Rattus norvegicus: one gene and its partners. The protein of the gene in region 3 interacts with the protein of the main gene of each other region in a pairwise test. Links are inferred from orthologs where the notes say so. Each region holds a gene or a part of one and is shown on either strand. Other genes may lie near its edges. The genes, in order: Hdx, Glis3, Sufu and Rcn3.

Region 1 (7,808 bases), on a different chromosome or scaffold from region 3:
CTCTGAGGTTTGATAAATGAACTTCGAGAACATCTGAAAAATACGCCCAAGGTGATTGTAGTCCAGAAACCAGAAGCTGAGCAAAAGAAACCAATCTTGACATCTCCATTCTTCAGAGTCTTTCTTGGCGTCTGATCCCTCTGACTCAGATTCTGACAGCAGCAAGAGCAGCTTAGAGTAATCCAGTGAAGCAAGTGACTGCTCCTCCTACAGCTAAAGGTACAAGAAAGAAGAGACAAGAGAAGGCCAGAGGTAAAGAGTAGATAAGTTAGCCAGGGGCCACCAGACACGTGACAGGAGGTGAGAAGTAGTCAGGGAGGACCAAAGGGAGGACTGAGAGAGCAAGGTCTGAAAGACACAGAGCGCAGAACTCACGAGATGCAGACTGGCAAGATCCCCTAGCAAAGCCCATGGAGGACAGAAGCCGTGAGAATAGTTACAGCAGAGTTGGCAATGGCAGAAAGAGAACAAGGCTCGCACAGAGAGCTAGAAGACAAGCATGGTGAGCCAGGGAAGAAGCAGCAAGAGTGAAGATTCTTTTTCTGAAAATTGGAAACAAAGAACATGAAATCAAGACAGTGATAATATAAGAAGAAAAGATCACTCCAAGCCAGGGGAGAGGAGTAGAAAGCATTCTGGTCATAAAGGAGATGACGATGACAACAGGTGTCAGAATGGTGCCAAGAGACACTGCGAAAAACCTAGCAGATAGAGAATCAAAGAGAAGTCAGGACCAGAGGAGAGAAAAGTCTCCAAAAGAACAAAAATAATTCTAATGACAACTGAACATACCTTACATTCAATCCAATGTCTTTTTTACATTGATGGATTGTATAAGTACATACTTGTAAACTTTTAAAGATGCTTTCTTTTTGACATGTTTTATAATTGATATATCTCAAGGTCCTTTGTGTAAAATCATAAAGAAAAGAGATTCAACAAAGGGGTAAGTCTTATGTTTTGTGAATAAAAGGAACAAATGTTTTAAAAACAAAAACAAAACAAAAGAACTCTGCCACTTAAAATTTTTAAATGTTTTAATTCCTATGTTCATAAAAGATATAATCCTGTGGCTAGAAGAAATACACCAGGATAAAAGTAGTCCTATTAGACTGTTAGGACACATAGCTTCTATTTGAATGAAACTTTAAATAGGAATAATAGAACAGTTTATACATCCTTCCAAAATTAGAGATGTAAGATTCTTTCTAAGAATCACATCTATAAGAATCCTTCAATCAATTATAGCTGCCATTTGAAAAACTTTTATTAACAGACAGAAAAAGGTTAACAGGAAATGTTTCTTTGTGTTTTGAAGCCAGCTTTCCTCAGCCTACACAGTGCTGGAGTTATCGCTATGTGTCCTAGTACCCAGCTGAAATAATTTTTTATAGTCCATAGATTATTTAAAAATCCAGCGTCTGGCACAATATCTTTCCTATAGTGAGAACTCTAAGGATATTTTTAAATGTAGTGACACATTTCTAAGATGTGAAAAATAAATTTTTGTGTGTTAAAACACATAGGAAAGACTCACCTGATTTACTCTGCAATGAAAACCAACTACGAAGATTCTTAAACTGAAGCAGTTTAAGTTTATAGAGAAACTCAATGACACGAAAGAAAGTCACAGAGAGACATGAGACTATAAATGTGCTCATAATAAAAGAAATCCATCCTGGCATTTGGGAAACAAAGGCAGGAACAGCAGAACTCCAAGTCATCCTCAGCTATATTGGGAGTTAAAGGCCAGCTTGAGCTACTGGAGAATTTGTCTTAATTCTCCATATCATAAAATAATGGATTTGGTATTTGTTGTATAGAGTGAGGACTCTTATTTTATGGAGAAATTTATGTGACCGAAGAGCTTAATCTGAATGTTTGAGCTTCTGTTGCTCAGTAGTCTTTCCCCTGAATGGAATTTGGTTTGTCAGCAAGGAATACCAAAAGTTGTTTGCAAAGAACCACATGACTCTCAGTTAAAGGACATGTTTAGCTGACTACTGAAATATTTCTGCTGACAAGGAAGCCATAGAGGTTGTGTGGCAACAGTGTAAAATCAAACATTTGATGAACTGAATGGTCACCAATGAACTTTACTTGTATATATCGATGAGAAGGGACATTTCTGAGCTAAAGGGATTTATGAGGGTCTTTCTGTAATCATAAATTGGTATCAGTAAATTCTGAGACCAGAATAGCTGCAGTTAAGAAACTTATCTGAAAGTTGACAATTGAAACAGTTTTACAGATGCTTCAAGCATCTTTTGGGAATAGATAATAATTTAATTGTGTAATATAGTTCCATACAACCTAGTTACAAATATATGACATTGTAAGTTTAGGCAGAAACTAGTATTTTCCCATCTACAGACCTTAGTAATGCCATCTGGTATTCCAGAAAGGGAGATGCAAAAAGATGTCTACAGTCTGCTGCCATTTGGTACCTACTAATAGTAACAACTGGGTACCATGCCCATTTTCGGTGTGTATTCATAGAATAGCATCCAGGAGATTCAGGTCTTTGATCTATAATCAAAGTACTATAGTTCTTTTTTTGACATTATTGTTGGCTCTGTGCAGGCCTCATATGGAAATGAGGTAAACTTTGTGGCAAGGTTGTATGTCTAGAATTAAATAAAAACAACCAAATATCAGTGGCATACTTTGATTTCCTGTTTCAAAAATTTTAAGATATGAAAAATATTAAGAAAATGTTGGTAAACTTGAATATTTGTGCAATATTTTGTCTGACTCAATTATATAAATTTACTATATGGTAGAATATGAATCAGCAATACTATCACTCACTTTATACAAGAATTGAGATTAAAAGTGTTTTTTACAAAGTACAGTCTTTGTGTACTTAAATGTCTTGATGATGAGTCGACTTTTCAGAGGATTTTCCCCTTTCCCCAGTGTCAGGGGAGTACCAATAACTTAAAATTACATCCTATAATTGCTTCGATTTTCAATCATTATCTTAGGCCAAATTCTCATAGGAGTTGAAAAATAAATCCCAGGATTCATCCAGGTTAAATATATGATTAGGTCTGTTTTAAAATTTTAGCCCACTTTCCTGAGTAAAAATGTATATGAATCATAAGAAAATGAAGTAGGAAGAAAGATGTAATGGCTACAAAAATAATACTAACCAAGTGTTAGCAACTTAGTAATGTTGAGATGTGCTCATTTCTATATTTCTGAATAAAATTAAGATTCTTCTTAAAGAATAAGCAAAAAAAAACCTTTCAGAAGTCAGATATAATAAATTTCATAGCTGAGTTGGTCAAAATTTATAATTTTCTAGGATTTTATAAGTTTTAAAAACAAACCATTTCAAGTATTTTACATGCTTCTTTTGTACTGTAGCCATTAAATCTTGTCATTCCTTCACAGCATACGTCTGTTTTAACAATGTGTTTTTCCAGTTGAAGACTATATGGGAAACAGAGTACAGTTATCTTGAAACACACACCAGTTAGGCAACCAAGAGACTATATCATCTTTCCCACCCCCAATCACAAACTGTCTGAGGCATTTTTCTCTGATAATGAAGACACACTGAATGAGGTATCATCAGGATCTGGTGAGGCATGACTGAAATCCATCTCTTCTAATTCTGGAGGTAAATCTGACAGCAGTGCCTATGTCAAAAAAAAAAAATCAATTGTGTTAGATTGGTAAGGAGAAGGCCTTTTTTTTTGACAATTTTATGTTGATAGTTGTAGTTCTTTTCTTTTAATTTATTATTGTTATTAATGTTATTATTAATTATTATTTATTATTTTAGTAAAGATAAATATTTATTTTTAAGGATTTTACACAATTCCTTACCTAAAACAGTAAGTTTTCATATATTAGGAAAGAACAAAATAGTAGATGCCAAGTAGAGTAGAATCTTAGACAAAGGGGAAATCAAGAAGGAAATGAAGAGCTATTCTGATGATGCCAGTATCAGAAGGTACTATGGTTATAAACATTAACAACTATTTCAAACCAAGGACCCTTAGCAAAGGGTTTTCAAGTGATTGAAGCAAGTATTTTTCATGCTAGTTTTGTGTGTTCACTGCTTACTCATAAAAAGCTTACCATTCCCTTTCCTTCTTTATTGGAAATATTCATGCTTCATTGCCCTTTAAGGAAACCCACATTTTAACAAAGACCTATTTTGTTTTGTTAAAAGAATAAATGTAACAGTCAGGGGAGAAATTCTTCTATTTTACTATAGATAAAAGTTTAACAATTGGAAAAGACCATGTGGAGTTTTTATTTGTTTGTTTCCTTTCCTTAGACTGTCCATACAGGAGGCAAAGCACCCACTAAGGATAGCTCAATATAAGATATGGCTGTTTTAATGATGTATTGGCATATTTCTTTACTGGAACAATTAGGATATGCCAACATTTATGAGCTAAGCTTACCCATGTTCTAATTGTTTCATCTGTATTTGTAGAACATGTGTCTATACTAGAGAAATAGTCAAGTTGTTTGTGGCTGACAATGCTGCTACCCATTTAACCATAAGAAATTGGACCTAAAATACCATAGTCGATGAGGAAATTTTTCAACAGCATTACTTGTATTGTGGGTTTGGGGAGATTAGTAAACAAGAAGCAAGAGAATAGAAACAAATGAAAGCTGACTAGAACCCAATTAAGGAGCAGAAAGGCCAGGGCATGCTGGGGAAACATAAGAAATATAGTGTTGAAATAAGATCTGATTCTCTTCTTCAATAGAATAGTGACAATTATATATCATATAATTTTTGCCTTGTGGCAAGCAAATAAGAAGGAAACATTCTAGTTTTTGCCATGCTATATAAGAAAAAACTAACATATGTGGAGAAAGTTATAATTTATTTTTGTATCACTAAATTACCCATGGATGTATACTGAAGACACCACATGCTTTCTGAGGTACTAAGTTGCAGTAATTGAAACATACCAATTTCTTCTAGGACACTGAGCTACTACTGCTGATCCAGTGCAGGTACAAAGGGGCCTTTGCTAATGCAGGCTGTTCAGAATGTAACATCAGTAGATCCAGTTCATGTTGCAGTGTTTACTCTACCATGTTAATAATGGAAAGATGTTCAAATTGGCACTGATTGAATATGAGCTTCATAGATTGGGAAATCAAGTGAATTAGGAATTTTCATGATATTCTAAATTCTAGCCGAAAGACCCCCAAAATAGAGAAGTGGTATTATTTATTTCTTCTTTATTTCATTAGAACAGTTGACTGACTAAAATTGAGAATAGAATTTAAAATGTTCATTATATGAGGTAGTTCATAGCACTGTTGATGCATGGATTTCACTGCAAAATTATTTCAATATCTTACTGGACAGAAATACTGGGGACATTAAACAACTCTTTGTCAATGATTGAAACTGCCCTTTTCACAAAGATACAAGTAGACACAATTAAATGTCTTCTTTTCTCCCATCACCCATATTGCAGATTGAACCCAGGGTCTCATTTACTCTGAGAAAAACACTCTGTCAATGATTCACATCTACAGCCTCAATATTTTTTATTACATGTTTTTCATCAGTAACAAGTATTTTCGAGCTCTGACCAAATGCCATTTTTCCCAAGAGATCATTAACACTTTCTCCAAATACACGCTCAGTGTCTGTAATACTTACTCTAGGCTCTAAGATGTGAATGTAAAATTGATAATCATTCTTATCCTCCTTGCAGAGTGGAGAAATTGAAGTTTAAGAAAGGCGATCGATCTGGCTAGGATCACACAGTGAATTATCAGGGGAAGAAAGACCATAACTAATGACTTAGAGCAATGTTGGCAACATTATCTGGATGTTAAAATGGCTATTATTGATTTTAAAAAGACAACCTTTAGGTAATCTAATGTTTCAGTTGGGAAGTACCATATATATTTTTAAACCCTGGACTTCTTTATAGGGGCAAAATATCCCATAGATCACTTATCCAACTTATCCAAATAAAGATTAATGAAAGAAATACTGTATAGCTTTTAAAAATAAGAAGGTAATGGCAAGTGTTTCTATTTTACCATATAGGATAATGTATATTTCCAGAAATATCATCAGTTTAAGATATAAACTGGATTACTTTTGTTTATCACTACTAGTATCATGTGTGTGTGTGTGTGTGTGTGTGTGTGTGTGTGTGTGTGTGTGTGTGTAAATTATTTTTCTGCTTAGAGGCTATACACATGACCTTCCTGTCTCAAGTCTTTAAGTGATTATAGGTGTGTGTCACCACCATACCTAGTGTCTTTTATGCTTGGAGAAATTACTTTGAAATTCATTATACTTAAAAGTACAAGAATAACACAGTTTTTATTTAGGCTGCTGACTCTATAAGCTGTGACATTTAGTATAATGTGGTATCATTTTTCTATTTCAGCCCATGTTTTGTTCATATCTTACTTTACAAGTCTTTTATCAGAAGAAAACTAGAAAAAGAAAAGCAACATGCATGTTTCTCTCTTATTTGTTAGTAATCCTTGGGAAAGAATGAAAGTAGAGCTGAAGTTAGAAGTAGAAATTCAGACTACGAGTTTATACATTTTCAGACAAGAAATACATTATAAGTTAGTCTAAAGTTGGAGTCTATTTGTGTGTGCTAGCATGCGTGCGTTCATGTGTTCTACAGCTATTTAAAGCTATAATACTATTGGGGTTGTGTTCAATACTATCACTCGTATTCATTTAAAAATCAATTCTCTCTCTCTCTCTCTCTCTCTCTCTCTCTCTCTCTCTCTCTCTCTCCACCCCTAGCTACATGCTCTTTTCTCTCTCTCTTTTCCCCCTCTCCTATCTCTTCCTTCCCATGGTGATTTCCTTGGGGCCAGTGAACCCGCCTGGACTGAGCGTAGCTTACCAATAAACCTGTGGGTGTGTGTGGGGGGGGGTGTGGGTGTGTGTGTAAAAAGAAAAAGCTCTGTATTTTAGGTTCTTAAAAAAACTTTGTTTTCTTTTTTTAAAATTTGCTGTGCTCTGCTTGCTTTTGTTAGTTTTAAGGTAAATTCTCAATTTATAGCCAAGGCTGAACTCAAATTCACAGCGCTTGTACTATCTGAGCTTCCTTAGTGCTGGAGTGACGGCATAAGCCACCATGACTGTTCTATAAACATGTTTTCAATATGCCATGAAATGTGTATCGTGTGTAATGAAGCACTACATTTAACACTAGCCCAGGCACCTAAAGGCTTCTGAACTGTGGTCTCTATATACGGTCAGAGTTGAAAGAGTAAACTTCATGAATCTGGATAAATAATAGTCATGCTGGCTTTAGCCCTTTGAGAGGACTCTTAGAGCTTGAATTTTGTGTTTCAATATAACAGTTAAATAAACAAAGATCTCTTTCTTTGAAAGAAAGGTGAATTATGGGATGTTCAGACATTAACCTATTCCCTAGAGATGTCTGGAATGGGCTATGCATGCATAATGTTCTTTGGGTATTTTGTTTTGTGGTATTTGGGGGTATATTTTATTTGGGTTTTTACTTGTGACATTTTTTGATGGATAAAATCTTCTCAGGTAATTTAGTAAAATATACCTACCTGCATTTCATACTATGCACATATAACTTTTCCGATACGGAATCAACATGGTGATATATAACTCAGCAACAAATCTGACATTTAATATTAAATATAATTTTATAGTCAGGCTTAAATATCCATATATTATTGTATTGTATGATATTATTTATATTATATTAATGTTGTCTTAAGAAAGACCTGAGGGCCAAACGTAATTTGGAAGGAATGTATAAACAAACAGCCACAGCAAAACACAAAAGGCATTCCAT
Region 2 (7,808 bases), about 20 Mb from region 3:
CAGATACAGCCAGAAATTAAGGGTAACCTATACTTCAGTCCCTCTCTAAGAAGGACAAGAAGCAAATCCGTACATCCTATTTCTGTACATTTCTTTCCCCTCTGGAAATATCCACTACCCTAAGATTACTGGTTCTCCTGCCCATAGGATTTGCTTGACCACATAATTGTTTATCTGAAAATCCTTTCTAATTTTTTTGTGGGTTTCAATGTACATAAATTGGATTATACCACATTTTGCACATAGCATTTTACTCAATTTTATCTTGTGAAATTCACCATGTGGAGTGTATTTCACTAATCTTAGACTCTTTCATAGTGTTACATAAGAATAAACCATAGCAAATCGGTTTACCTTGTCTGTGGAAGTAGAGTTAATTACACTTTTATATAAATAAAACCACATATGCGACATGTGTCTCATCCTAGGTTTCTATTCTGACACGTAAAGGATTCTGTAAGAGAGACACATAAACATGGTTCTGTTAAATATACACATTTTCAAACTTACTATGAATGTCCAAATTGCTCTCCAAGATGGTTACACCAACTTATTTTTCCGTGCACGCGCACTCGCACACACACACACACACACACACACACACACACACACACACACACACACACACACCATTCTCCATACTCATCAATACTTGGTACTATGCAAATTTACCCATTGCTGCCTATATAAAGGTTTTGATGTGTTAAATAATAATTATAGTCAAATATTTTCCAAAGGTCCTCTCTGGTCATGTAATTGTGGTAATCAAATCAATGCCAAATCTTATCAAAAATAACAAAATAAAGGTTGTAGACGGGGAGAAAACTTTACAACGGATTTACTTTCTCTCAAAAAATATCTTTTATGGCCAAAGCTGGCCCATGACCATACATCAGGCCATAAAAGAGAGCTGGGGACATGGCCCCAGCTCTGTATTTATTTTCTTGTGCTCATAATCCAGTGTTACTTAAAAAGCAAACTGCCCCATATCCAAGCCAAAGCAAATACGCTGAATTTTGCCAGAAAAAATGCCTGTGGAGAAATGAGTCAATTCATACAAAATTTAAAACTGTCTTTGGTCAGTGACATTTTCATGAAAATTTGTGGGTGGGTAAAAGTTTTGCAAAATTCATTTTGCTATTGGATTAAATTCATCCAGGAAAAATAAGCAAAATGTAAGTGGCAACCCACATCGCCTCTAATTCCTCCTTAACACTCCCAAGGCTTTCAATTGTGCAGGAAAAGAGGCCCCGCAGTTCTGGACCTGAACAGAACCTGGGCCCCTGCTCACGGAACAGGCTGCTTCCCAGCATAAGCGCTCATGGACCAAGCTTCTCCTGTCATTCAGAATACACTTCAATGCCCCCGGGAAAACACTACTGGGCACTGAGCACCCCTGAGCTCAACAGCCAAGAGGCCTCCCTAGAGTGAAAGCCTTTGACACATTCTTTTGGAACCACCACTATGGGATCCTTTAGGAATGATTTGATGCTCTTTGTTATCCTCTTAGGGGCACAGAAGTGGTTTGGAGCTTGTGGGGGGGAGGGGAGGGACAAGTTCTAACTCTTAAGACTTGTTCTAAATTGAAAATCAGGCACCTCCTCATCTCAGAAAGACTTAACAAAACTTGACTTAGTGACACTTGGGAATGGCCTACAGTCAACAACCTAAGATTTACCAAGGAGAGAGCTGCTGAGAAAGCAAGAAGGTAGAGAACATTGGTGGGCACCTAGAAACCATTTAACTTAACAAACATGACTGAATGTACTTTAAAATACAACCTTGCTACATTTGGGGTTCTGATTCATTTGAGATCTGCCTCTCCACCTATTGAGGCCTTTGCGTTGCAACACTTTGCCACTGTCTGGAACTGTCCACTTCATGCAACCAGGACTTTAAGGGCAGGAGCCAGTTTGTCTTTCCATGGGAGCAGTCAGTGACAGGTGGGGCTGTCTGGATGAGAACGAGACCCATCCTTTTCTTCCAATAACAGAACCAAATCATGAATTCGGAATCTTCCCCTGGCTCTGCTTTGTTCCCAGGTTCCGGGTTAGTCTGCAGCCTCCCAAGGTTAGCAATGATTGATAAAATGCGTTCTCCCATGGAGAATAAGTAACTTGACAACAGGGGGGATTCCACAGTAGTCTCTTACTGTAAAGCAGGCATTGGCCCTGACACACCCTCCTTTTACCATAATTTCCAGAAGCTCTTAGTGTTACTTGTAGTCATGGTCACCAAACACGTATCGGTCACCATTCCATTTCTTGGTTAAATAACCCGGTAGATGAAAATGATGACTAAGTCTGAATGTCATCCACACAGGAGAAATAGAAATTAGATATACTTGAAACAAAACAAAACAAAACAAAACAAAACAAAACCAGACTGTCCCCTAAAATTCAAACTACTTCTAGGTTTTGTAGCCCCCCCCCCCAAAAAAAAAAAACCGAAGACCACTTCTCCTAAAGAACGTGGTCACCTTACCTGACATGGCTCTGGTTTGGGGTAAGCTACCTTCAGATTTCAATGCAATGAAACACTTCCCTGTTGGAAGTTCTGTGTGCCTGGATCCCGTGAGCTTGGGAAAATTCCCTCTGCAAAGGGCAGGAGGATGCACACTTCAGATGTCCATCCCCCCTTAAGCACAACACCTTCCTGTCTGCAGACTACAATCTGAGATGTCCGCCAAGCCTTGCCACTGCAAGACTGCTTACTGCCAGCACTCTACAGGGTCACATAGGAAGCACATGACATGTAGCAACATTAACAGTCTTCAGAAGATAGAAGGTTCACGGTATGTACGTTGACATAAAAATGGGTCTCTTCCTGTTAAAACCGTACACTCCCCATGGTGGGAGATCATAGCATCAGTAACCCCTATGTACCTCTGCTTTATCTAAATTTGCACACAGCACGTGAGTGGTTTACGATTCTAGTCCTGCTGCTGGATTAGTAAGTTGTGCACGTGTCCCGCCTATGAATGAGGAGAGGGCAGATTAGGAGAGCACAGTTGCCTCATCCGCCCGTCCTGAATGACACAGTGAATGGCCACACAGGCTCACCGCTCAGCTGTTCTTCCCCTCGACTATTTCTAATTTTAATGTTCACTGTGCACTTTAGCAAAAGTCAACTCTGCAAAGTTTAATGTCTTTGAAAGCTCTGGGACCCGAGGAGAAAATGGGGAAACCCTTTTGCACAGAAATTAATTTTGAAATGCAAAAAAGTTTTTTTTTTTAATATAACTCTAACTTTAATGTTTGTTTCAGTAAAGCCAAATCCAATGAACTATTTTCAGCCGGGAGTTAGTCAGAACTAAAAGGTTGGACTGTTTTCCTTCAGAGACTGGGTGTTTCTCCTGCTTTGCCACAGGCCCCTGTGTTCCAAACAGAGTAAGCAGGATTGCCCTCAACTGCTTGTCTCTTGTTGTGGCATTCTCAACACAGAACCTACTGACAGCATAGAGTTCGGCCTCCTGGAATGAAATTACTCTTTTCACTCAGAACCTAACACTCTCACAATGCATCCGCTTCAGGTTTTCCATGAGGGAAAAAAAAATCACAACATGGGCATAATATAACGACGAAAAGCACAACTCCATTCCACCGGAAAGCCTTACAGCTCTTTCGAAAACACCCACAGTACGCGGTGAAATGGCTTCTGACTCGTGCATCCCAGAGCTCACCTTCGTGGCACGCTTTTGCATCGATCAGAGCTCGGCCAACCTACAGTCAATTGTCAACACAGTCCACACGCTTTGTATCACAACCCGCTCTAGAGATGATGCTGGCAGGGAGGATCACAGTCAAACCCGTTCCTCTCTGATCTGGTTTATATCCATCCCTTATCACTGATCTCCAGAACTCTCGATATTAAGGGAGCACATAGGAATCTGGGTTCTAACTCTGAAGAACTATTCCTGGACATCTAGACTAATAGAAAAACGTATGTTCCTCCCTCCCTTCCTCCTTCCCTCCCTCCCTCCCTTCCTCCCTCCCTCCCCCCACTCCCTCTGCAAGAGTTCAGTGAGCCCTCTCAGACTGTGCAAAGCTATCTCTTGTGATCCTGAGGGTGAAGTTCTGCTTGTAAGCCCCCGAGGGCTTCTTCGAGGTGTGAAAGTGTGGTGAAAGCATTTAAGAATCAAATTATTCAAAAACAGTCAGGTTTGCCAAGAAACAGAATCAGGGTTGCAGGATCAGTGTTGGGAAGGAGGAAGGCAGGAGAGACAACAGACCCATGTGCTTCAACACCAAAGGCACAAAATCGTCTCGACCCAGGCTTTATGCTTTTCCACAAAAGTTATCTTTCCTCAAAATTAAGCGAGATCCTACAAGGCCCTGTTCCCGTGGTGTCTCCTTGGTGTTTCCTTGCTGACTGCAAATCATTAATGAGTCTCGCAACCCTAGAAGATACGACGTGTACGCTGCTACCTCGATAGTCAAGTTCCTAAGTGGAGAATTCCTATCTTAAATGTCAGCCACGCCCCCAGATCCCAAGCCTCGCCTAAATTTTCAGAGGTTTAAAAAACAAACTGATTATTTACTTAGGAAAAGAGGAAAAAAAAAAAAAAAAGCTTGCTTGTGGCTCAGTGAATGGTGCCCTACATTTCAACAGCCATGTAGTCAAGGGAATACGGAGTCTGTGTCCTTTCCACAATCCCAGACTAAAGCAGACTAACCTCCACAACAATAGTGGCATGGGGCTTGAGATAGAATGGGAGAAAAACCAGCACCATCAAAGGAAACTTTCCCTTACACCAGCTAGAGGACGAGGCAAGAAACCTAATAAAGTACCTTAACCACCACACATTCAAATCCCACAGAAATAGAAACTCTTACCTGCCTTCTCGGTCCTGTTGGATAAAATGCATGCGTGAAAAGTAAGCTGGACCTTCAAGACAGGTGGCCCAGGACCTCGGAAACTCCAACTCACCGTACACTTGTTGGGCTTCTCCCCAGAGTGGACCCTCATGTGGATCAGCAGTTTATATCGTGCGTTGAAAGGCTTGTATCTTCTAGGGCAGCCAGTCCAGAAGCACGTGAAGTCTTCCCCCTTGCGCTGGTCTATGTGGACCTTCTCGATGTGCCTCACCAGTTCCTCCTGCTGGTCATAAAGGGCGCTGCAGTCTATCCAACGACAGCAGTGCTTACCCCCTGAATCTTCCAGCTCCCCATCCTCTTCCAGGCCAGCCTGGGCCAGGGGCAGCGATTGAGTGTGAGGCAGGAGCTCTGGGTGATGAAGATGTGGATGGGCATGGTATGGGGGTGGGGGGCCCTGAGGCGGGGGAAGAGGGAGAGGCGGTGCAGAGGGCAGGTCCAAGGCACTGGCCGGGAACTCCTCCAGGCGCTCAGTTTTGAGCATGTTGGCTGTCTGGCCATCCTGGCCCGGTAGGCCGGGCTGCAACACCATGCTGTTTCCAGATCCAGGCTGCAGGCCACCGTGCTCCAGCTGCTGCATGCGTTCGTACTCCAGTGTGCCATCCTCTCCGTAGCCCGGCAGCGTATGCCCTCCACTGGTAACCAGCACACCTTTCTGCCCGCTGGACACTGCGCAAGACTGGGGGATGCAGCTGCCACGGACACCCAGGAAATGCCCATAGACCTCCGACTGCGGAGACATGTTGGCTGGGGAGGCTCTTGATCCATTGATGTAGGCCACCAAGGATGTGGGTGAAGTACGGATGATAGTATTGAAGTCAATCCCGATGCCGTCGGACAGCGGGGACAAGGACAGCGCTCTCTTTTTGGAGCGGGTGGAGTGGGGCCTGGTTGCTGAGTGCCGAGGACTGGGGTAAGGAGAGTGGCTGTTTTCCATGCCGAAAAGGTAGGGTGGCAAGGAGTTAGAGACGCTGTTGCCAGACACTGGCGTGCCCGGAGGCAAGCTAAGAAGGTCCCCTAGGTCCATGCCATTCTGGGAGCTGTGGTTGGATGAAAGTGAAGGAAAACCCCTGTAGCTCTGAGACCACTCTTGCTTCACACTCAAGGCCGACTGACTCTCTGTCAGGCTCAAAGTCGTGGACACCAGAGACTCTTGCAAAATAACGGACCTGGGGCAGCAGCCAGAGAGAAGGAAGGAAAAAAAAATTTTTTTTCAGTGAGATGTGGATTGCTTAAGAGCTGGGAGAACACTGTACCAACAATCCCTTAAGTATTTCCCCTAATTACATTTGCCAATAAACACAGATTCTTGGACTATGATAGAATCCCAGGCTTTTTAGTTCCAGGTAAACAGCATTTTACCAAGCAAACAAGAGAAGCCAATGCTTACTAGGATAATAAAAGCTATCGTTATAACTAGTGCTAGTACTTTAATGAGAATAAATAGTCCCCACCTTATTTCAAAGTAATTTTTTATACAAAAGGGGGAAATTGAAGACTAGGAAGAAATTATAGATGCTTGTTGCAGCACACCAAATTAGTATTTGTTAAGCACCTACTGTGTACACCATGTTGTCATAGGTTTTGCAGGTCATACACTTCTCAACAGCACTAGTGTTCAGTTTAAATCTACTTGGAAAAGTGACATAACCTCATTGCTTTGTTTGTTTTTTTAAAGGAAATCTTACAAAACAAATGTTGTGCTAGGAACTTACTAAAACTTTTACAATTCCATTTCATGGATATTGTCAAATCAGACACTTTTAAAGGGCAATTGACAATGTGAGTACGCATCCATTTCTATCAAACATTTGTGGAAATGTAAAAATACAGGGGCACAAAGTATACCTCAAAGATAAAGTGCATACTTAGCTTGTGAGAAGCACAGAGTTCAGTCTTTATCTCACAGAGAGAGAGAGAGAGAGAGAGAGAGAGAGAGAGAGAGAGACCTTAATAGAACAAAGCTACGATACATAAAGAGAAATGGACTGGAGAGCTGCATTTGGAATCACTCATCAGGCCTTGTGGGGGCTAACCACACTTGTTAGATGGGTTTCCCATGAGCTCTTGTCCTTGTATCCGAGAACAGGTCACTCACTCGCAGTGATTCATTTTTACAATTCCTTCCTTGTCCTTACCCTTTTATTTATATATATATACATATATACATATATATATATAAGCTAAATATGTCACAATCATTGTTTGCATATCAAAGTGGTTCATTATGGTAACTCTAGCCCCTTGAAAATTCATACTGCTTTCCAAGGACATTATTGCCTTAAAATAATTTTTAGTTAAAAACAGTAAAATTAAAGCTATGTCCCTGGAACAAAACATTCATGCCCCAAAAAGGATCAACCTGTAGACACATAGAAAAGGAACCAGATCCCAATCCAGAAGCCTCAGATAGCTTATTCACATGCATCTGCAGCTGGCTTTCCAGAATGCTTTATTTAAACAGACTAATCACCAAAAGTTCTTATATAAACTGTGTGACTTCTCTAGATGGACTCATTTACTGTCTCCAGGCATTAAATGTCAAGCTGTTGTAAAGGAAGGAGGAAGCTTCATTTCACCTGTCCCCTTCTTGGCTTCACAAAATGGAAACCAGGAACACTGTTTGTGCCAAGCCTGGGGTATGTGAAGAAAGCGTCTAGGCTCAGAAAGTCACAGAAAGGTGGTAGCAGACACTGTAATGGACCCGAAGGCCGGTGGGTATGGGGATGTTTACCAATGGTGGACACAGCAGGAACCTGTGTCCAACCACCCTTGATGTAGATTTGTCTTTGGCTTTTCTCACGTCCTTACATTTGGGCTAAAGTCCATCTGCAAGTGGCTTCTGCACAGGTTGGATTTTAATTCCCCTTGGACACATCTCAATTATTTTTTGAGCACACTTAACAGCATGGGGCTCTTCCTGCAGAGCTCAGC
Region 3 (7,808 bases):
AGGGAGCAACTGACTGGTCAGTGCAGAGCCCTGGCCACTGGGACCTGCCTGCTCTAGTCACAGAGTTCACTTCCTATACATTCTGGTGAGGTGTCTATACAGTCACTGGAGAGGGCCATCATGTCCCACCCTCCATTCTTGGTCTTGACTTCCCAGAGTATGGGGAGTTCTTTACTTCTCACGCCTGGGTTCCCAATGGCCAGGGAGTGCCCTGCTGCTGTGAGGACAGCAGCATCCATACTCACAGCCTCTGTATCCAAGAGGCAGCTCCCAGCTCAGCATGGGTACCACAGAGAGCTCCTGGGAGGGAGGGCAGGCAGCAAGGGAGGAGTGAAAGGAAAAGAACAAGGAAGAAAAGCTGCTTCTCACTTGTAACCAGGGTCCGTGAGCTGCGTAAGGATGTTCCTCAGTGGCAAAGGCGCCTTCCACTCCGGTGGACACAAACGTGATGGCCATGTCACCTGTGATACTCTTGTAGGTGAAGTGCCGGCCATGCAGGAGTCTGCCCCTGGAGATGGGAACATGGAGACAGTGGGGATCTGTGCCTACAACAGTCCCTAGCCAAGGTGCTGGGGCTACAGAGCAATGTTCCGAGATGGAGCGTCTGGCCAGTGCCCTCCTGATGGCCCACCTGTTCAGTAACAGGGGACTTTAGTGACCAATGACAAACATGTTCATTGTAGCACAACAGTGAAAGGCCACCACTACCAGTTCACTAAAGGCATCCTGCCTTTAGCTCCTGATGCTAGGTCAGAGCTCAGAGAACCTCAGGGAAGGTGAGAACAATGAGGCCAGAGAGGGAAGTTAACCGTATGTATGCTCAGAGGGAAGGACGTATGACTCCCAGTGGGATATTAAGTGCCCGGAACAATCTTCCTTTTGTTCTGGGCTCTCCTGAAACATTTAAACAGTTATCCTAGAGGCAATAAGCAAATCTTTAAAAACACAAAAACAAAAAAACAAATCTGAAGCCAAGCAGGGTCACTGCGAGAAGTCACCACTAGTCTGAAAATACACTTGGAGGACGGTAGGCAGTGGCAACCAACGGCAGGGATACCGAGCATCCAAGGAGGAAAAATTGGCTTTGCATTCTCTGCCTGCTTCAGATAAACCCTTCCCCCGGCTGGAAGTCCAAGCCTGTGCCCAAGAAGCTGCTAGGAGGAAACAGCTGAGTCTGGTGCTGGCCCTGGGAGGCCCTGCTCACCCAGACCACTTGCTACCTTTGCCCTGTTTCTCAGGGCAGTTGGCTAAGGCTGGTTAAACTCTTGACTCCTCCCCTACTTCGCCTGGCTCTTGGATCCATGGGCAGGGTTCAAACCATGAAATTACTTCTTCCTAGTCACTGTCCCCTCAAGTTTAGAGGGATTCTTGTTGCTTCCTCAGTTTGCAAAGTGAAGTTGGAACTCAAAAGTGTTTGGGAGGGGGCAGCTGCAAGAGATCCAGCCTAGTGCAGTGCTTTGAACGGAGCTGAGTCCTGTCCACAGCGTGGGCGCTGACTCTCACAGCAGCAGAACGGACACAGCTGGGCTTCCTGTCCCTCAAGGAGTCTGCGGGGTTGGTCACTGGCTTTTGTAAAGGATCAAGTATCTTTTTTTTTTTTTTTTTTTTTTTTTTAAAGATTTATTTATTTATTATATATAAGTACACTGTAGCTGTCTTCAGACACACCAGAAGAGGGCATCGGATCTCTTTACAGATGGTTGTGAGCCACCATGTGGTTGCTGGGAATTGAACTCATGACCTCTGGAAGAGCAGTCGGGTGCTCTTAACCGCTGAGCCATCTCTCCAGCCCCAAGGATCAAGTATCTTGCATGGGAAAGCATCAAGCAGGAGGATGCAGAGCCTAACCTGTCAGAACCCTCTTGCTCCTGACCTGTGACCCAGCTTAAGGGATGGCAGGGCCATCCTAGACTCTCTTGGTCACTGAACCTCCCAAAAGGGGCACAGCTGAAGGACACTTCCTAGATAAGTGAGAATTCTCAACATCTAGTCCCCATGGTGTCTGACTTTGAAACTTCTTAGAGAACCAGATGTTAAGAAACCTAGGTGTAGGGTGCATATCTTTAAGCATGAAGAAGCAGAAGCTCTCTCTGAGTTCAAGGCCAGCCTGGGCTACGTAGTAAGACTGTCTCAATAAACAAACAAACCCCAGATGACAGGCGGGGTGGGGTGGGGAGTGGGGGCTGTTATGTGACTGGGGCTGTCACAGATCTAGCTTAAGAGATTCGGAACAATCTCTGAGAATGAACTCTAGGCCATCTGGCCTGGTCACTGTCTGAAGACTTCTCAACCACCTGCACTGCCCAGAGCTTTAGACAGGGTGCACTGCGAAGGCTTGTGACACAGAGTCCCCAGTTTCCCACACAGGCCCAGGGCAGAGCTGCCTGAGTGTCTGTCTTCCATCCCTAGCCCTGGACACTGCTTAGGCATCAGACGCTCACAGACAGCCTGTCTGGTAAAATGCTTGCCAAAGCTTACATGAGTTGTACTGGGGGAAGATCGACTGTGGAGGTTTTGAGGCCTGCAGGGTACTGCAGAGGGGCTGATGTGGAAGGTACTGTCCAGCTCACCTTAGGCAGAGGGGGATGAGGGCTCCCGACTCCTGGTTAAATTTCAGATGCACGCTTTCGAGCTGCCGTGTGCGGATCAGCTCGTGGGGGATAACAGCCGTGGAGATGTCACTGCCCAAGCTGTCCTTACGGCTCCTGTGAAGGAAGCACATAGGGACCAGGGGAGAAGCCAATGAGATTTTCTCCATGAATTCCTGGTCAGCACCTATGGTGGCTGTTAACTGCAGTAAGGGTCACCTTCACTGAGCACTAGCCAAGGGTGTCACACACTTCTCAATGGCTGGCTACTCCCCCTAATGCCCCACAAGGTGGGCACACTGGGACGGAGGGGCTGAGTGCCCAGGCTGCACAGCCAATGAAGAGGTGGAGTTGGCATGTGGTCTGAAGTCACTCAGGCGTTAGAGCCCACATCTTTGGCCAACAACACAGAAAAGTCCTCACAGCACGGCTGCTTATTTTGCCTATGAAATCAACGGCTGCTCTAAGGAGCTTTTCTTTCCCTGACTTGAAGCCCTAGAGGCTCTCAGCTCTCCAAGGTGTCACAGACAGCGGCTCAAGGTCAGGCTGGCTGACCCTGGCAGGGTTCTAAGTGAGCCCACTCCTGCACAAGGCCCGGCCAGGCAGCAACATAAGCAGTGACAGGAAGCAGCATGACCTTTGCTGAGAGGTGAATGTTGGGCCCTTAGGAGTCAGATGTGTGTGCCTATGTGACACTCAGCTGAGCTTCACTGGTGTGGCATGTATGTGGTGGTATATGCTGTGTTTTATAAAAAAGAAGAACCAGGAAAATGTTTGGTAGAGGCATGGTATGCTGAGGTGGAAGGAGGTGCCTCTGCAGGTCCATGCTGAGGCATCCCTTCCCCGAGGTACCAGTCACACAATGGGTATAGTATAGAATAGCTTATTTAGGGCATAGGGAGGGGAGTTGAAGGAATAGTAGAGACAGAGAAAGGGAGAGAGAGAGATTGTAGAGGCCAGCCATGAGCACATAGAGAGACGGGGGCGAGGGGGGGGGACGACAAGAGAGTAAGAGAGTAAAAGAGCAAGAGAGTGAGGAGGGGGCAAGCAGCTCCTTTTATAGTGAGTCAGGCACACCTGGCTAACTGTATAACTGGTAACTGTGGGGTGGAGCCTAGAAGAAATGTTAACAATGTGTGTGTGTGTGTGTGTGTGTGTGTGTGTGTGTGTAAGCCTTGAATTAGATCCCTTCTGACAGTGACCTTGGCCACACTAAGCTGTTGCAGTCCCTTAGGTCCCTTCCAGTTAAGACCCCCAGCAATAGCTCAACCCACAGCTAGGGTACTGGACTCTAGTTTGGCTTGTGAAACGCAGAAAATTCTCTAAGTGCCCAGGAAAATACCAGGCTCAGAGCATTCGGTTTTGTTTGTTTTTAAACCATTCAAACAGCAGGCAAGAGCTACTCAGGATGTCTGAGCAGGACAGTCACCCAGGAGCAGGCCTCAATTTACGAAGGGAGGGTGAGCACAGGGGCTTCTAGTCAATGATGCACCTGACAGATAGATCCCCTCCCAGCGGAAAGCCTGGGTCAGCTGGGTCAGCACAGGCAGCAAGGCAGTGACTCAGCCCGCCCCTCACCCCAGGTGCTGGGCAGTTCAGCTCTGCTGTCTGCTCCTCCCAGGACCCACCCCCAGATGACTGCTCTGTCACCAAGGCAGCCCTTCCTGTGGTTCCCAGCGCTGCCTTGGGAACTGCCTTTCCCTTGGCAAGCACTTTCACAAGAGCAGTGAAGGAGACACACTGGCCAAGAGGGTCACAGCATTTCAAGATCGGAAAGAAACTCAACCTGTTTAATTTACCTCTTTCCTTTGCAAAGGAAAACATATCCAAGGCCAAACAAAGAGCACGAGTGTGGCAGGCCAGCTTGTGGGAACCAAGGACTTCTGACCACCTCTGCCTACCGGCCAGCAGCCAAGAAGAACAACTCCACATTTCATCCAGGCACTATGGATAGGTTCAGAGATGACATGTGGGGTACCCCTGGGGCCCAAACAAGAACAGAACACAGGAAACAACAGCAACCATGTTTATCCAGTGCTTCCTCAGAGAGTGTGTCAGGCTCTCTGTTAAAACGCAGTTGCACTCACTGGGTCCTCCCAGCAAGGAAGGAAACGTTCTAAGCCCCAAAGTGGGCACAGATAACCTTGAGGTTAAAGTTTTATTTGGGAGGCAATAGGGTTGAAACTCAGAGTTTTGTGTATGCTAGGCAGGCGCTTTACCACCGAGCCCCGCCCTGAACCCCACTGAGTGATTGAGGAGCAGAGCCAGGATGTGACTCTTATCTGATAACAGGCTCTCCTAGTCTATGCTGCTGCCAGGCTGCTCACTGGGGCCCAGACCTGGCCTGCTAGGGGTGGGACCTTCTGGAGGATTCCAGCCTCAGTGGGCCAGGCAAACATGCTGATGACTAGCCTCGGAGGTAGGGTGGGGGCTGGGAGAGAAGAATCTCACAGCACGCAGGGCTAGAGAGTCTCAAGCTAGAGGGAAAAATAAATTGTTGAAAGTCAGCTAAAGTCACCTTGGTAACTGCCACAACACACTCACCAGAAGGAGGACAGCAAACCCGACTGCAGACAGCTCTAAAGAAGCAGCAAAGAGCTTAATCATCTGAGGAATTAATGTGACAAGTGCCCACATTTACACCTCCCACCAACCTTCAATCATTTGAGAAAACATACTTTAATCTTTTAAGAAAAAAAAACTCAAAATGCTAGATCTGCACTCCTGGAGCCTGGGTATTTCCGGCATGCTGCTTCAATGGGAAGGCGGCTGCCTCACACTCGCCGAGCCCAGCTTTTTGCTGATTTGTTTTTTCTGGACATCGATGCAGAAGCATGAATTATTTGTGTGGGCTGGGTGAGGTATTAAATCTGCAGCCGACACAGGTTTGCAATGTTTTGCATGGTTGTCAGCTTAATCTTAGTCATAAAAAAATAAGTAGTGTGCTAGGCGGCATGGCCTAATTTTTCAGCTGGGCTTTCTCCCCGAGTTCACCATAGTGAAAGAAGGCAGAGCTATTGGGGGATGGGGGCTGGAAAGGGGAGGGGCTTCTGGGAAGTCATGACCCACAGCCACTGGGGAGGTCTAGGGGACATGGGACCATGAGTATGCTCTAGGAGGCACATCATGGGCTCATTCCTTGGTGACCTTAGCAAATGACCTTCCTCTTTCCTTTTCTGAGACACAGATTTGCCATGTAGCCCAGGCTGGCTGTTCATTTATTTTTTAATTTTATGATATTTATCTTCTGTGTGTATGCATGTCACACAGATATGCCAGTGTGCAGAGATCAGATGGCAATTTACAGGGGTTACTTCTCTGGTTTCAGAACTCAGGACAAGTTTTACATACTAAAGTAGACCTGCCTTCAGGTTCTCCTACCACCCCTCAGTCCCTCCCGGGCATTCCCTGAACTTCCCAGCCCAAAGGCTTGGCTGCCCTTCTCCTAGAGGTTCTTCTCTTTCCTATATAATCCAGACATTTTGGTCTCTCTTCTCATTTCTCTGTGAGTGTGCCCTTTCTCTTTCTCTGCCTCCCCCTCCCCATGTGACTCCCCTGGCCTCAATTCTTGGGGCCAGCAAACTTTCCCAATAAACCTGCCTTTGATATAATCTGGCTTGGACTGGCTCAGTCCACCAGCGGCAGAGAAATAACCTATCCCTCTCCTACCGTGGAGCCTGGGCATCACACTCAGGCCATTAGGCTTTGTGGAAGTGCGCTATCTGTTGAGGCACCCCAGCACCCACCCCTTGAACTCCCAGGCTAGTCTTGAACACATGTAGCCAGCTCTCCTGACTCAGTCGCTGCAGTGCTGGGATTCCATCATGTGTTTTGGAGGGCTTAACTATTTCCCTAAGCTTCAATACCCCTAGATAGAAATAAGTAGCTGTAGGGTACTTGTTATAAATGGTCTACTTGCGTCATACTTAAACAAGATGCATCTGATAAGGCAGCTAACAGTGCATGGGGGCCTGAAAGACTGGTGATGGTTCTGAGAGCTAATGGAAACTCATTTGCTCTTATCCTGGGCCCCGATTCAGCTGCCTCTGGCCAGGTCAGTTCCCTACTGAGCAAAGGTCTTAAAAGGTAGACCAAGATTAAATGCTTCAGGTCCTGGTCAACCATTGGTGCACTGGGAAGACCAGATTAAAGGCAAAGAGAGGGGCTGGGGATTTAGCTCAGTGGTAGAGCACTTACCTAGGAAGCGCAAGGCCCTGGGTTCGGTCCCCAGCTCCGAAAAAAAGAACCAAAAAAAAAAAAAAAAAAAAAAGGCAAAGAGAACCCCTCAAGGCCTTTCCTCCCCAAGGGAGAGAGTGGCCAAGTCACCTTGCAATCTGCCTCCCTTGTAAATCTCAATCCAGCAGCCTTTAAGCAGCTCCGTGCTTGCTTGAATCAATCTCTCCCCGGCAGCTTTTTGCATCCTATCAACAGCCTCTGTTTCTTGGCTACAAGGCCCCAACTTTCAACTTCATCCTTGACAAGGTTGGTCAAGCCACCCTCCCCTGGATTCATTTGAACTCGTCAAAGTTAGAGTGCCATGTCCTGAAGTGAGGTAGCATGTGTGGACATAAATACAGTATGTGCCCTAAGCAGGGCAGATCTCAGGGGCTCTGTGCCCACTCTTGTCTGGGGCGGTTTATTTCTATTAAAACTGTCATCAAATTGTCCCTCTTTATAACCTCCTCATCTTACTACCAACTCATACAGCTTTCTCTCTCGCGCTCCCCCCACCTCAGCGAAATCTTATCAGGTTTTCCCCACATGCTGCCCTCTCCTGTCCTGTCCAGTCAGTGTATATTGTGTGGCAGGCACTAAGAGCAGACTTCCCCATTATCTGGCTAGAGCTGCGGGTAGCATGGATGGTTCTCAGCCTGACTGGCTTCCACCAACTCTGCATTCCATCTGGACGGCACGTCATCCACATAAATGATCTACCTGCTATCGATATTTTTAGTCCAGTCGTTGATTAAATTGACAACAGACCTGGGCTGTGCAGACAAACTGACAACACTGCTGTTTGGGTATGCTCATCCAACCAATTATAAACAAACCCGCCTTCCCTCCTGTACACTCTCTGGACATTTCCATCTTGTTTTAAAGACGCCCTGAGCATACTCAAGATGTCTGGCTGAATGCTAATGCTACCCAGGCAAGGCTACAGCATGTTTTTCATCTCAGCAGACATGTAAGCACTTATACATGGGACTCTGTCTCCTGGGA
Region 4 (7,688 bases), about 150 Mb from region 3:
CTCGGAACTGCTGCCTCTCTGTCTGTACCCAGGCCGGTTCCTCCTCCCCAGGCTCCGCAGAGTACAAGTCCGCTGGAGGGGATCAGGGTGGGGGAAGATGAGGTCTGGGGCAGCCCTGAAAGCCTGGGAGACCTTCATCCTGCATCCTAAGAGCCATCTTCCTTGAGGCGTACTCCACACCCACACACCTCCCACTCTTTCCTCTCCAGCCCATCTGCACACACACCCACACGCAAGCCGCCAGCCCCCTTGGCCATCAGTCAGTCCTCCATCTTCTGTCAAATTTGTGCCGGGGAATAAAACATGTTATTTTAAAAGATTTAGAGGGCTGGACAGATGGCTCAGTGGTTAAGAGCACTGACTGCTCTTCCAGAGGTCCTGAGTTCAAATCCCAGCAACCACATGGTGGCTCACAACCATTTTTTTTTTTTTTTTTTTTGGTTCTTTTTTCGGAGCTGGGGACCGAACCCAAGGCCTTGCGCTTCCTAGGTAAGCGCTCTACCACTGAGCTAAATCCCCAGCCCCGCTCACAACCATTTGTAATGAGATATGATGCCCACTTCTGTGTGTCTGAAGACAGCAACAGTGTACTCACTCACATACGTTAAATAAATAAATCTTAAAAAAAAGGGGGGGGGTGGGGATTTAGCTCAGCGGTAGAGCGCTTGCCTAGCGAGCGCAAGGCCCTGGGTTCGGTCCCCAGCTCTGAAAAAAAGAAAAAAAAAAAAAAAAAAAAAAGGAATCGAAGGTGTTCTCCACTTCATAGCAAGTTCAAGAGGCCAGCCTGAGTTACAGGAGACCTAGCTCAAAAAAAGAAAAAAAAATTTTTTTTTCCTAAAAGCCAGCAAAACCGTCAGATTTTATCCTCATCCCTGAGTTAAACAGCCAAGGCCTAGCACAGGGCTGGCTGTCCAGGTTAAAACACTTGAAATAGCCCCGGACAGGACAACGGGAGACAATGCTATGGAAACAAGACAAATCTGGAGCCTGGTACAGCCAACAAAGCCAAGCTGTTGAGCCGTGGCCATTGTAGAGCCCCAGGCTGTCCCAAAAGGGCATCTCTCTCTCTGGTGCTTTCTGCAGGTTCCCCATGAATGCTCCCTGGGCTAGACATGCAGTAGACTCTGCACACAGTGGGGGCTTGATTCATGCAGCATGAGGCATGAGGACCTCAGCTCCCCTTGATGCCAGGAGATGGCAGGCCTCAGGTGAGAGCCGGCCTTGCTCACCGATGTACTCTTCCACCTGCACGTAGCCATCTTTGTTCTTGTCAAGGTCCTCCAGGGTCTCCTGGGGAGAGGCATTGGGGTGAAGGGTCAGTGTACATACAACTGAGCAATGTCCACGGGGAGGGGGGGTCTGTGGATGTGACCAGATGTGCTTGTGTCCAGTGTGAAGCAGCCAGGAACCCCCATGTCCGACCCTGCCCAGATTTGTCTGTTTGGTTCTATGAGATAGGCTCTCACTGTGTAGCCCTGGCTGGTGTATAACTCACTCTGTAGACAAGGCTGGCTTTGAACTGAGTCCAGCCTGCTTCAGCCTCCCAAGAGTTGTGTTCCGCTACAACCAGCTCATCGATAATGTATATTTAAAGATTTTTTTCTTTTTAATTTTATGTGGGGCTGGAGAGATGGCTCAGTAGTTAAGAGCACCGACTGCTCTTCCAGAGGTCCTGAGTTCAAATCCCAGCAACCACATGGTGGCTCACAACCATCTGTAATGGGGTCTGATGCTCTCTTCTGGTGTGTCTGAAGACAGCTACAGTGTACTCAAATATAATAAATATTTTTTAAAAAAATTTATGTGTGGATGTTTTGCCTGCATGCCTGTGTACCACGTGCACACAATCCCTCCAACATCAACAAGGCCATCAGACCCTGTAGAACTGGAGTTATACCAGGGCTGAGAAAAGAACCCCAGGCTTCTGTTGGAACAGCTAGTACTCTTTTTTCTTTTTTTTTGGTTCTTTTTTTCGGAGCTGGGGATCGAACCCAGGGCCTTGCGCTTCCTAGGCAAGCGCTCTACCACTGAGCTAAATCCCCAACCCCACAGCTAGTACTCTTAACTGTTAGGCCATCCCTCCGGCACATGGACTATTTTTGGCACATGCACCCACATGTCTACTCTTCATGTTATCTGTCCTAATTTAATAAATGGTTTCTGGTTGGGTGGTGGTGGAACATGTCTTTAATTCCAGCACCAGCAAAGCAAATCTCTATGAGTTTGAGGCCAGCCTGGTCTACATAGTGAGTTCCAGGAAAGCCAGGGCTACACAGAGAAAGCCTGCCTCCAAAGCTCAGATAGATAGATAGATAGATAGATAGATAGATAGATAGATAGATAGATAGATGGATGGATGGATGGATGGATGGATGGATGGATGGGTGGGTGGGTGGGTGGGTGGATGGATGGATGGATAGATAGAATCCACTTCTTCAAGTTCAAGAGCTCAATAGTCACTGAAGATTAGCAGTGGACCCTAAGAGACAAAACAAATTTATAAGATCCCTGTAGTTGCCACACAAGCACGAAGATCTGAATTGCATTACTCAAAACCTGCATAAGAGGGGCCTGGTGACCCACACTTACCACCCCAGAGCTGGGAGGCAGAGACAGAGAGATGCCGGGGGACAGCTGGTCAGCCAGCCTAGTTTAATCGGCAAGCCCCAAGTCTTGGTCAATGTCCAGTCTCAAGAAGCAAATAGCAACAAAGTGTGGAGCCCTGGCTCTGAGGTGAGGAGCACCCGCTGTCTCAGAGGATCTGAGTTCAGTTCCCCGGACCAGTGCAACTCCAGGTCCAGGTGGTCCAGCACCTTTCATGGCCACTGCAGCACCTGTACGCCCCACCGCCTTCCCCGTAAGTACGTTCCATATCTAGTATCTGAGATTTGATTAAATCACAGCATGCTGGGCTGGAGAGATGGCTCAGAGGATAAGAGCACTGACTGCTCTTCCAGAGGTCCTGAGTTCAAATCCCAGCAACCACATGGCGGCTCACAGCCATCTGTAATGAGATCTGATGCCCTCTTCTGCTATGTCTGAAGATGGCGACAGTGTACTCACATACATAAAATAAGCAAATCTTTAAAAAAAAAAATCATAGCCTGTTATATGTGAATTTCAAATAAACTGTGTTTTCCTGGGCTCTGGCCACAATTGGTGTTCACCTGAGGCATCTTTTTAAGATGTTGTGTCTGGGAACAGGCTGGGGACCAGACATCTAACAGGAGCACAGGAAGGACTGACAAAGAGGTACCAGGTACTTGATGGGGAGTAGACACGGGATAAAATGCTGTCCCACATCTACACTGGTGGCCTGGAATCCTTGTGAAAGCTGCTGGGACCCAGGACAGGTTTGGGAATCATGCTCTCTGCAATGAAACTCACTGCCACCACGATGTCCCGCATGTGAGGGAACTCCTCAGGATGCAGAAAGGCCGTCAGCTCTTCCCGAGTAGCCATGGAGTCCCCATCTTGGTCAGCTACCCGGAATCGGCGCTCATCCCGAGCCAGCATCTTCTTGTAAGTCTCGGCATCCTCCACATCATGAAATTCCTCCCCTGGGGAAGGACAGATGTGGATGAGATGCGTGGTCACAGAGGCGAGGCCTGGGGCCTTAGGGAACAGAAGGACTCAGCTAGCAGAAGGCCTGCCACAGTGTGTAAGAAGTAACACATGTCAGTCACATGATGGGTATGTGGGCAGGTCTGTCATTCTCATCCTTAAAAGACTGCAGCAAGAGAATTGCAAGTTCAAGGTCAGCCAGGGTAACTAAGCAAGACTATCAGATAGCCCAGCAGCGAGCCCCTGCCTAGAATCTCCCAGTGAGGGGCTGCTGTGTGGCTCAACCATTCCTGGCAAGTGTGAGGCCCCAGGTTCAATCCCTAGAGATGTAAAATAATAATTTTCACGTGTAATATACTCAGCTTCTTGTATCTGGCTGTAACACAGTCAGTGACGTCACAGACTGGAGCTTCACTATGTAGCCCAGGCTGACCTGCAACTCAATGGGTAGCCTGTTAGTTCACAGAGACCTGCCTGCCTGCCTCTCCCTCCCAGTGTTGGGATTAAAGGGGAGCTGCACCATTCCCACTCCCCAGGCCCCTCTGTGTCCCGTTTCCTACAATGCTCTATGTAATCCTCACACAAAGCCAGACTGTTGCCTTTTCCATTTGTCCTCTTTTCTGAAGGTGAAATGACTGGGCTCTGAGCGGACACTGGCCTGGTTAGCCCTGAAGTTCTTTCCTGATACAGCAAGTGACTGGCTCTAACTCCATGACAGAGGCAGGGAAGGGCTTCTCGCCAAAGGAGGAACAGCGTAGGCGAAGTGCAAAGTATTGAGGAGATCGTGGACTCCACCAAAGAAACTGGGGCAGAAACCCTATGAACACAACATTGCTGGTGGGAGAGGCTAAGGAGGTAGCTTGTCTGTCTCCTAGGGTCCCTGAAGCATGGAGGGAGTCACCTGTGCCATACCTATCCTTGAGCTCGGGGCTATCCTCCTGCCTCCTCTACCCCACAAATGCTGAGACTGTAAGCAAGACTGAAGAAGACAGCTAGCCAGGGGTGCTGGCTAATTTTATGTCAACCTGACACGCAGGTCAGAGTCATCTGAGAGGAGGGAACCCTGATTGAGAAAACACTTCCATAACACTGGGCTGTAGAATAGTGGTCAACCTTCTTAACGCTCTGACCCTCTAATACAGCTCCTCAGGTTCTGGCGGCCCCCATAGAATTGCTTTGTTGCTACTTCCTAATTGTAATTTTGCTACTGTTATGAGTTGTGATGTAACTATCTGATACACAGGATAGCTGATATGTGAACCCCAAAGGGGTCGGGACCCACAAGTTGAGAACCAGTGCTATAGCTAATTCTTCAGTGATGGACACAGATGTGGAAGCAGAGGCCAAAGAAACCTTCTCCTCCCCAACTTGCTTTTGGTCCAGTGTTTCATCATAGTGACCCTAGCTAAGACACCGACACTGCGTAGGGATACCATCTCGAAAAGAAACAGAGATCAGGGGTCTGGTTAACAAGACGGTTAAGCGTTAAGTAGTTCCTGCCAGGGATGTGAAGTCTCCAGTCAACTTGTCACATAGGCTGGAGTTCAGAAGGAAGAGCAAATGACATTTGAAATGGAGGGAAGTATCAGTGACAAGATCCTAAAAGCGAGGTCATAGGGCAAAGGCGAGGTGGGCATACCATACCGGGCTCATAATGGCCATAGGTGGCATTGCGCAACTCCTCCCAACCCACGCGCCCGTCGCGGTCCGTGTCGTAGGTGTGCCAGGCTGCGCTCACCGAGTCACGGATGTGCCGCTGCTGTGTGTGCGCAATCCACGCGCGGAGCTCAGCTAAGGACACCCAGCCATCGCTGTCCCCAGCAAGGTCCATGCGGTCTACAATCCGCCTGCAAGGAGAATGAATGTCAGTCTCTGGTCCTGCCCAATGAGGCCCTGCCCCTAGAGTAGAGATGCAGTCAATCTCAATCCTGACTCCGCCCACCAAGGCCCCTCCCTGTCATGTAGAGTCACCCTTGCCCCCACATAAGACAAAAATGGGAACTTAAGTGATGGCTTAGCAATTAAGAGCCCTGGCTGCTCTTGGAGGAACCTGAGCTTGTTTCCCATGAGCCCCACAAAACAGATCACAAGTATCTGTAACTCCGGTAGCAGGGGATCCATTACCCTCTCGTGGTTTCTGTGGGCACAGATAGGTTAATGGTTAACATACAAACATGAAAGATACCTACACTCATATAAATAAATCTTTTTAATTAAAAAAATAAAAAAGGGGGTTGGGGATTTGGCTCAGTGGTAGAGAGAGTGCTTGCCTAGGAAGCGCAAGGTCCTGGGTTCAATCCCCAGCCCCGAAAAAAAAGAAAAGGAAAAAAAAATAAAAATAAAAAATAAAAAAGAGCAGGCCTTTCATTCCAGCACTCGGCAGGCAGATCTCTGTGAGTTCAAGGCCAACCTAGTCTTCAAGACACAGCAGCAAGGACTATTTAGGCAAACTCAAAAAAAAAAAAAAAAAAAAAAGATTGTCGTGAGAGAAAAGAAAAGAAAGGAAAAAATTAAAAGAAAAATAAGAAGGCTAGAGAAACAGCTCTGTGGTGAGGAGCACGGGGTGCTCCTTTAGATAGGTTCAATTCCAGCATTCCACATGGAAGCTCACAACTGTAACTCCAATTCCAGAAGATCCATTGGCATCCGTGTGGTACATATACATGTGCATGCAGGCAAAATATCCATATACTTAAAATAAAACAATTATTTAGAAATAAAGATAGATAAATAAGGAAAAAAAATGCTACCCAAGATGTGCAAGCAAACTGGTGGTGGGACTCCAAATAAACCAAAGAGAGGAACTGTCTGTTTTTGTTTGTACTATTTAGCGGATTATTGGGGGTTGTTTGTTTGTTTGTTTGAGGGCAGGGTCTCATTATGTATTCCTGGCTAACCCGAAACTCACTCGGTAGACCAGACCGGTCTGGAACTCACAGAGATCTGCCTGCCTCTGCCTTCCAAGTCCTGGGATTAAAATTGTGAGTACAGGACCAGGAAGAGCATCACCATTGATAGGATTCACCCACACTATGTCTTTGCCCATCCTGACTCCGCCTCTTGCCCCTAGCCACACCCCTCAGAAATGCTGCTGTATAGGCTTGGAAAGGCAGTAAAGATGCTAGGTGAACTGAGAGGCACCTGTTAATCTCAGTGCCAGGCCCTTCTAAAAGCCTGCCATCTTCACCTAGCCTGTCCCCTACCGGAGTCCTAGAGACTTGTATTAGCACGTGGCACAAACAAGGTCCCACCCTCTACTCTAGCCCGGTCCCCTAAGCGTTACATAGACCTTCGCTGGACTGAGCTGAAGTGTGAACAGTGAGCCCGGCCTCTAACTGCACCCCAATAGGAGAATGCTACTGTCTCTTGAAACTCCACCTCTCACTATCTCAGGGCCCGCCCCTCTTTCAAGCCCAGTCTGCCAGTGGACTCAAGCTCTGCCCACTTCCCTAGGTGGGCAGATCAATTTTGGACTCCTCCCTCTCCAGCTCCACCCTGCTACCATTTGCCCAGTTTAAAATTAGAAATTGTCAGGTTGGGGATATAGCTCAGTGGTAGAGCGCTTGCTTAGCAAGCGCAAGGCCCTGGGTTCGGTTCCCAGCTCCGGAAAAAAGAAAAAAAAAATTAGAAATCGTCACCACATTAAAGATGCACTCCTTTAATCCCAGCACTCGGGAGGCAGAGGCAGGCAGACTTCTGAATTCTGGACCAGTCCAGTCTACAGCGTGAATTCCAGACCAGCTAGTACCACAAATGAAATTCTATCTCAAAGTACTAATAATAACGAAAATAATCAAGCATATATACGTGAGTGGCCTTCTTGTCCCGGGCCCATGCTGACAGTGTCTGTCACCTAGAAACAGGGCAATCCTGTCCAGCTGGCGTCATTCATCCCAGTTCAACCTGGCCTCTGAGCTTGGCATCTTCCTCAAATCCCATGTCTTCAGTCTCTACCGAGAGTCGGTGACACGTTTAGAAGAGAGAACAGGGATGCCCAGACAGGCATAGGGTGGATTGAAGTAGAGAGAGAACCCAGGTGTTGGTGACACTGGTCCCCCACAGCCTCAGGTTTAACTCTACCTTTTCCCAGGAGGTGAGTACCACAGTTCTGTCCGGTTTTCTGC

The links.
Region 1: the proteins of Sufu (region 3) and Hdx interact in binary tests that used the Homo sapiens proteins (3 or more experiments, as listed by UniProt). The link is inferred for Rattus norvegicus from reciprocal best matches to the Homo sapiens genes SUFU and HDX.
Region 2: the proteins of Sufu (region 3) and Glis3 interact in binary tests that used the Homo sapiens proteins (3 or more experiments, as listed by UniProt). The link is inferred for Rattus norvegicus from reciprocal best matches to the Homo sapiens genes SUFU and GLIS3.
Region 4: the proteins of Sufu (region 3) and Rcn3 interact in binary tests that used the Homo sapiens proteins (3 or more experiments, as listed by UniProt). The two-hybrid records come from large-scale screens. The link is inferred for Rattus norvegicus from reciprocal best matches to the Homo sapiens genes SUFU and RCN3.

What each region holds. Positions count from the first base shown.
Region 1 is NC_086039.1:80,743,262-80,751,069, forward strand, and holds part of Hdx (highly divergent homeobox), read right to left. Parts: intron 3,648-7,808; coding exon 3,522-3,647; 3' UTR 1-3,521.
Region 2 is NC_086019.1:235,653,305-235,661,112, forward strand, and holds part of Glis3 (zinc finger protein GLIS3), read right to left. Parts: intron 6,044-7,808; coding exon 4,930-6,043; intron 1-4,929. UniProt on the Homo sapiens protein: Acts both as a repressor and an activator of transcription. Binds to the consensus sequence 5'-GACCACCCAC-3'.
Region 3 is NC_086019.1:255,276,281-255,284,088, reverse strand, and holds part of Sufu (suppressor of fused homolog), read right to left. Parts: intron 2,706-7,808; coding exon 2,571-2,705; intron 509-2,570; coding exon 370-508; intron 1-369. UniProt on the Homo sapiens protein: Negative regulator in the hedgehog/smoothened signaling pathway. Down-regulates GLI1-mediated transactivation of target genes. Down-regulates GLI2-mediated transactivation of target genes. Part of a corepressor complex that acts on DNA-bound GLI1.
Region 4 is NC_086019.1:104,701,692-104,709,379, forward strand, and holds part of Rcn3 (reticulocalbin-3 precursor), read right to left. Parts: intron 5,412-7,688; coding exon 5,209-5,411; intron 3,561-5,208; coding exon 3,388-3,560; intron 1,291-3,387; coding exon 1,230-1,290; intron 73-1,229; coding exon 1-72. UniProt on the Homo sapiens protein: Probable molecular chaperone assisting protein biosynthesis and transport in the endoplasmic reticulum.